Mus musculus: one gene and its partner. The protein of the gene in region 2 purifies or fractionates together with the protein of the main gene of each other region. This does not show direct contact. Links are inferred from orthologs where the notes say so. Each region holds a gene or a part of one and is shown on either strand. Other genes may lie near its edges.

What was found. The genes of interacting proteins can lie anywhere in the genome.
Region 1: the proteins of Ctbp1 (region 2) and Hdac2 purify together in Homo sapiens (affinity purification with western blotting; 7 studies listed by BioGRID and IntAct, with this or other methods). This does not show direct contact. The link is inferred for Mus musculus from reciprocal best matches to the Homo sapiens genes CTBP1 and HDAC2.

The regions. Positions count from the first base shown.
Region 1 is NC_000076.6:36,984,508-36,988,158, reverse strand, and holds part of Hdac2 (histone deacetylase 2), read right to left. Parts: intron 3,033-3,651; coding exon 2,920-3,032; intron 1,853-2,919; coding exon 1,735-1,852; intron 80-1,734; coding exon 5-79; intron 1-4. UniProt on the Homo sapiens protein: Histone deacetylase that catalyzes the deacetylation of lysine residues on the N-terminal part of the core histones (H2A, H2B, H3 and H4).
Region 2 is NC_000071.6:33,272,444-33,276,194, forward strand, and holds the start of Ctbp1 (C-terminal-binding protein 1), read right to left. Parts: upstream 2,562-3,751; 5' UTR 2,376-2,561; coding exon of another isoform or gene 2,336-2,375; intron 1-2,335. UniProt on the Homo sapiens protein: Corepressor targeting diverse transcription regulators such as GLIS2 or BCL6. Has dehydrogenase activity. Involved in controlling the equilibrium between tubular and stacked structures in the Golgi complex.

The DNA.
Region 1 (3,651 bases), on a different chromosome or scaffold from region 2:
TCACCAACTGAACCACCCGTGGAGAGCTGACAAAACTCAAAGAGTCCATCAAACACCGGACAATCTTCTCCGACGTTAACTGTGGAAGGTGAACTTCATTAAAGTCAATCTATTATCAAGTCATTGAAGGCTTTTTCTTATAAACTATTAAAAATATTTGTTTCAGGCAATCATAGGTAATAATATAATATTTCATGGTAGCAATGTGAAATTTGTAATTTTAAAATATTACCTATGAATTTTAAAATTCACAGGGAGTAGTACTTCAATGTAGGTAGTATTATAAAAGTTATAATTTTATAATATAATGCTTATTTTACAAGATAATTAAATTGTTATCTATGTAATTCCATTACCAAATCTTATTAGGAAATTTGTGAAGTCACTCTACCCAACCACCACCATCACCAACAACATAAATCAAAAGCCTATATGAAAATAGGCACAAATCTAGTTTTCTCTTTAAATATGATAGTGAGTTAAAGATTAAGTGGCTGCAACCCCTTTCTAACTCATCTTACTGACCCTCACACACAGTGTCCCTGACTCCGAAACATGTTTTAGTGAGTATCAAAATATTAAGTTACTTTGTTTTTTTTCTGTGGCTAACACTGACTTCAGAAGCAGCCATGAATGAATCAGTTTCATGGAACATAAGACAGATGACATGTCACTTGGTCATGACATGGTTGGCTCCCTGTGCTGAGAGGAAAAAACACAACAGAAGTGTGTGTGGCCCATCCCTAGTCATTCTTCACTTCTCAGATCACACGTTAGCAAGAGGGCAGGGGTTTTACAGACCTACAGATACTATAAAAAAAGTTTTAGTTTTTTATGCTCAAATAGAATTTAATATAAACAAGCACTATAATGGTTTAAACAAATCCTGTCATTTACCCAAGGGCTGGCTACCCATTACTGTGTAAATCCCAAATAAAAAACCCAAAAAACAATAGATGTAATAGCATCCGTCCGTCCTATTCCAGTCTTGAGTCAACCAAATGCGATAACATACGGTAGGGAAATATGGTGTTCAGTGAACTTGAGAAATCCTTATCATTCGTCATCACTGAACTAAATCCACCTCTCACTGAGGAAATGGGCTCCGGTATTAAGCTTCAAAAGACAGCAGCCCACAGTTTCAGGATACTTGGCAATATTTCTTTAATACACTTGACTACCAGTTAATACAATTGACTACCAATAACAATACACTTTCACCTATAATCAAAAACATGTAGAAGAATAAAAAGAAACACAAAGAAGCCAACAAAAGGCAACATCTTTACATTACAGAACAATGTGACTGGAGTACACAGAAGGTGAAATGGAGGATTGTTAATGCAAGAGAGAAGCAGGTGGAACTCTGGGAGTTTGAGGCCAGCCTGATCTGCATTAGCAATCTCCAGGACAGCTGGTTACAAAGTCAGACCCTGTCTCAAAAAAATTATTAAAAAAAAAAAAAAAGAAAGAAATATATTTTTCTCTTGTAACTCTGTGATCTCCCTACCAATCCCAAACTTTTCATGGGTGCAAAATAAAAAGTAAAAGAACAAATTTAAATAGGTTTGTTTTCTAAAGTAACATTAATATTGGTTCAATGACCTTCTGAATTAATAATTATATTAATATTTTAAATTATGAGGAAAAATACCTATTGAGGCAACTCTGATCAGAAACTTTAAAAAGATTCATTTACATTCAGCACTAGTAAAATAATTATTTATAACGTACATCTCTGCATCTGCTTACTGTACTCAGACATATTATCTGGTCTTATTGATCGTAGAAACTTGATATACTCATCGCTGTGGTATTTAGTCATTTCTTCAGCAGTGGCTTTATGAGGCCTCTGAAAAGAAAAACACCAGGATGTTGGAAGTATCAGTTGTTAAATGAGAATTATCAAATGATATGTGTAAGTTTCCACGATCAGTCTCTCTAAATGAACCAGATCCACCTGAGTAGCAAGTTACAATGCTAATTCAAATGCACACATTTGTGGCAGGCAGCAGGCAGCCGGCAGCCCCTCTCCAAGCGAGGCTACTCCTGTTTGTTCAGGCTCTTTCCCAGCATAGCCTCGCTGCTGTCTACCCACTGACTTTCATCAAAGGTTTCTAAGAACACCAGCTTGAGATCTCCCTTAGCCTTCGTTTATTCTAACTTCTGCTCTGAAGAGCTCAGCTTCACTTACCACAGACTTCTTCCACAAGTCTTCCCATTTCTCTAAAATACCTGTATCTTAAAGAAATGCTTCCTATAACACTGTCTAGCCCTCTTCTCCTGGAGTAGTTAGTTAAGCCTTATCCTACCTTGCACTTTTTATGTATGCTCCTGCCCATGTTTCGAAGACTTTTTAGGTGGCTGTGTATCTTACACCATTTTTTACTTACCTTGTTATCATTGGCAACATTTCATATGTATGTTAACCAAATAAATATTTATGATTAATTTTCTACCAAACTCTTGCAATAATTCAGGTCAATTCTCTTTTATTTCTTTTTAAAATTACACTGTGGTTACTTATTATTGGAGGTGTGTCCTCATGCCCACGTGGAATTAGAAAACAATTTGGGGGAATTAGGTCTCTCCTTCTACTGTGAGAGTTCTGGGGAAGGTAAACAGGCCATCCAGTTGGTGGCAAGCACCTCTACCTATTAAGTCATCTCACCAACCCCAGGACAATTGTTTCTAGCAGCACAGGCAACTTAACAGTATTGTCACAAAAATATTTGGTGTTTGAAATGATCAGAGGGAAGAGAGGACTACTCCAATTCCTTAAGCGTTCTCTGAGGGACACAACCACAAGACCTGTCTGTGTTCGTTCAGATCTTTTCATCTACCACATGCATCTCCCACAGCAGCCTAAGAAGAGCTTTCAAATACCAGTTTAAAAACACAGTGCCAACTAGTACTTACATATATTTCCATTTTTCGGTATAAACCATAATTTAGCAGCAAGTTATGAGTCATCCGGATTCTATGAGGCTTCATGGGATGACCCTGGCCATAATAATAATTGCCAATATCACCTAAAAGAGAAAAGATGCTTATTAAATACCACCACTGACATGTACCCAACATCAAAAAATTTATATTTAAACAAGAGTTGTTTTTGTAACATTCAAATTACATTAGAAATCTAATATATTATGCAGATTTTATACATGCCTAGGATTCACATTCTTTGTGGAGAGAGAAAGTTTTTCTGACTTTTAGTTTTCCAATTTCCCTGGTTTGGTTCCTTAAGGTGAAATCCATTTTTAGTGGATTTTTGTTGTTGTTGTTGTTCATTTTGTAAATTTAGATACATAAGAAGTATTCTTGAAGTACGGAGTAGGATCTAATTTGTCAGCTAGTAGTGCTTCTTGGATAACTTATTGGAATCCTGTAGAAATACCTTACAGTCGAGCTGGAATTATGGAAGGGCTTAAATGTTCAGTGTCCACAAGTGGGAGAGTCACAGCATTTTTCAGGGTAATAAAGACACTCTTGTCTTCATTTCTCAGGACTACACAGTAGTAGCCTGTGCATTAAAACATCTTAGATGCTGTGGTGGTTTGAATATGCTTGGCCCATGGGAAGTGGCATTATTAGGAGGTGGGGCCTTGTTAGAGAAAGTGTGTCACTATGGAGGTGGGTTTTGAGGCC
Region 2 (3,751 bases):
CCCGGGGCTTGAAGGCAGGCCCCCTGCCCAGCACCAAGCAAGCCAAATCCTTTCCTGACACTAGAAGAATGAAAGCTAGTGTAAAGGTGCTGCCATGCAGTACAGACCTCAGGACATGTCTGCTTTCCATACCATGCCGGGAGGCCACACAGCTAGTAGGTCTCATGGACAGGGGGTCCTCAGCAGTACCCAGATCTAAGGATCAATGTCCACACAAGTTTCTTGCCAGGTTACCCTGTGGGCACTCACCAATGAAGTACAAAAGGCAGGTAGGAAATAGTGAGCTGCTGGAAGGACAGGAGTCTGTCCCACCTAGAACCCTGAAGGGGACACTAGACCTCTCTGAGCATGAGACTCATCTGGAAAAGGGCGAAACACAAGCTGAAACCTGCTACAGGTCCACAGGTGACAGAAGATAGAATAGCCAGAGAAGGACAGTGTATCACTGAGGTCCCACCAGGATTCCACAGGCCCCAGCCCACACTATGTACAACTAACATGGCACAGTGCCCTCAGACATCTGTGGAAGCCAGGCTGACACATACAGCAGGGCCATGCAGAGAAAGAGCAGCCTCAAACCACAGCTGCCACCCTAAATAGTAACAAGACAAGCAAACTCATAGAGTTCCGGAGAACAGTATGACCCCACACTACACCACAACGCTGTCCCTGAACTTGGCACATCCCACAGCTGTCACCCCATGTTGCAGATGAAACAGAGAGAACACACATATGAGCCCAGCCCATATTCACATCCTGCTATCATTCTTCCAGAGATCATGCTCCCCCGGGGTCTCAAAGATGTTAGTCCAACTCTATAATGGAGCCCCGATGTCCTGCATGCCAATCACACTGGGGTAAGCATCCTGTGTATCCCTGTTTATATTGGACACGTGCTCTGAATCTGGAAGTGACAAAGCAAAACACAGTAAGGGAACATACTACCCGGGGAATAAAACTGCTAGGTATCATCTTGCTGACACCCTGGCTCACTGGGTTCACTTTCCTAAATACTGGACAGCTAAACTCCTTCCCTTTTCCTTCCTACAAGGCAAATTTGTCCTAATCAATCAAAAGCTCAACACGACAAGGGACATAACCCTGGGCCAGGAAAGGTTTGACAGGCAAGGCTGTCCTGCTGATTTCTGGAAGGCAATGGGCTGGGCCTGCCCTCCCTACCCCATGGGAAATTTGGACTATAACCCTGCTGGTTTGGGTGCAGAGCCTCTTCCTACAAAAGTGTGTGTGTGTGTGTGTGTGTGTGTGTGTGTATACACATGAGCCTCCAGGGAGTTCAGCTCTGAAGAGGTGCAGTGTAGGGGAGGAGTACCCACCACCAGTCCAGGATGAAGGCAGGCCTGGAGGGCCTTACCCCGCCACACCCTGAAACAAACTGACAGGATCTGCAAAATGGCCTTGTGTGATAAGAGGTATAGTGGGCCATCACAGGGCGCCTCCCTTTTTCCCTCCTGCCTACAGTTCCTTATTTCCTGCTGGCAGCACACGCTGCGAGGATTCATCCCCTGCCAGCTTTCAGGCTATAAGGAAGAAGGCAGTGCCCTTGTGAGAACAGAGCTGGGGGTCAAGCCGTGTGGTCATTAAAGTGGAAGCGCCAAAGAGAGGGACACTGTAGGGCACTTGGACGGTGGGCAAAAGGCTCCTCCCTAATCCGAAACCTCTCGGCTGCCCCGCCCGAAGGTGGGGTCGTCTTCGCTGCGCGTGCGCCAGGCTACGCGGCCAGGGAACGCAGCCAAGGAAGGACTGCCCTCCACAGGCAGGACCCCTGTGGCTTAAGGACTTTCATAAATGAATAAAAAAAAACGTAAGTGGTCCAAATCCAGGTGCCAAGCTGAGCATCACTAAGTCGACCAGAGGGGTGATAGGCATGTAGGCCACCCATGTTCCCTCAGCGCCACCTCTAGAGACTACCCGCTCCCGGATCTGCCGACCCGAGGCCCATGCGGAATCCGCAGGCTCGTCACTCCGGGAACACCTAGGTCCCGGCTGGGTGTCCACGAGAAGGATCCTCGCGGGACCCCGGGCCAGGAAGACAGGCCCGGCTCGGTCACAGTCTGGGTCGCACCACCACAGGCCCCTTTGTCACCTGCGCGGGTCGCGAGCGGGCATCGGAAAATAGGGACGCGCACGCGCGTGCAGCAGTTCGCGCATGCGCATCACCCGTTGGCCTCCTGGGTTTCTCCCCCCCAACCAGGCGCGCGCGCAGCGAGCGCGCACGCGCACTCGCACACAAAGCCAGCGCCGCGCGCGCCCGGCCGCCCCGCCCCCGCCCCTCCACCCCCCGCCCGCAGCCGGAAATGCGCGCGCGCGGCCTTACCCAGCGGCAGGCCCTTGTTGAGCAAGTGGGAGCTGCCCATTGAAAGGTGCGGGTGGCCGCGGGCCCCGATGAGTCCGGCGCTCTCCGCCGCCGCGAGCCCTGCGCCTGGGGCGGCTTCGGCGCAGTCTGCTACTCCGCCCGGCCGCCTGCGCCCGGCCACCGCCGTGCCGAGCCGCCACCGCGCCGCCAGCCGCGCTCCGACCGACGAGCGGGCGGGGACACGCGGCGCGCGCGCGCGGGCGTGGCCTCGGTTGGTCTGCTGTTTGCAGGCAAGGCGGCGCGCTGGACGTACGCGGGCGGCTCAGGGGCCCAGCTGCCCGCCGGCCCGACGCTCGGCCCCCACCCCCAGCGCCCCTCCCAGGCTGGATTCCCTTCCTGGACACGCCCCCAGCTGTACCCGCCCCCGGCCTCCCCTCCCCTGCGCGTACCCCGGACTGCGCCCCTGCCACTCCTTGGCGCGGTGACCTGGGCCGGAGCCTGAGTGGTGAAGCAGCCCATCCGCGTGGGGCGCTACCAGTCTAGTCGCCGGGGCCTCAAGAGGACAGCGAGAGCGGTTCACTCGGCCCCTTGTGCGCTAGAGCTGGGGCCGCGGACCCAGGACCCAGGAGCTGGACAGCGCCCCAGCCAGGGAAAGTGATCTGTGCGCAGGGACAGATGCCCGCTGGCCACCCCAGAGTAAGCGACTGACTGTTGGTGGGACTGTCAGACAGGCGTAGCGAGGGATACCGCTTAGCTGTTAAAAAAAATAAAAATAAAAAAAAATAAAATAAAATAAAATAATAATAATAATTAATAATAATAATAATAATAACATCACGGGAACAGTCCAAACTGAAGGATGCTGAAGGCCATATGGTTACGAGTTTTGAAAATCAAATCTTTGAGAAAGGTGGGCAGTATCAATGAGGGATGACAAGGGCCTGGGCATCTGTTTACAGAAAAAATGCTTTGAAAATACCTTCCAATTCCATCTATTGGCAGACATGGATGGAGAAAAAGATCTAACAGGTGGAGTCTCAAACCTGCTACAGTATTTCCTAAATAGACTGAGGGCTAGGGGGGAAAGCCAGCAGATGTACACTTTCCCTTAATCCCCACCCCTATCCTGGACTGTCTCTCCTGGTCTGTTCCAGTTTTCTCGAGCTGCAGGTGACTCCCTACAGATCCATCCAAAGGGCTCCTCCCAGTTGTTCCATCCTAACATAGCAACTCCATGGCAGAGTGACACCTCCTATTCCTTCTCAGGCTGCCCAAATTCCCACTTTTTCTTGCACATTGTGACTAGGACCACCACATCACTCCATCCTTGTGAGGGATTATATCAGGGCTTGTATAAAAACCCTTAGGGCTCAAAAGATGGCCTAATAGGCCATCACTTGAAAGAGGCACATTGGACTTGCAAACTTTATATGCCCC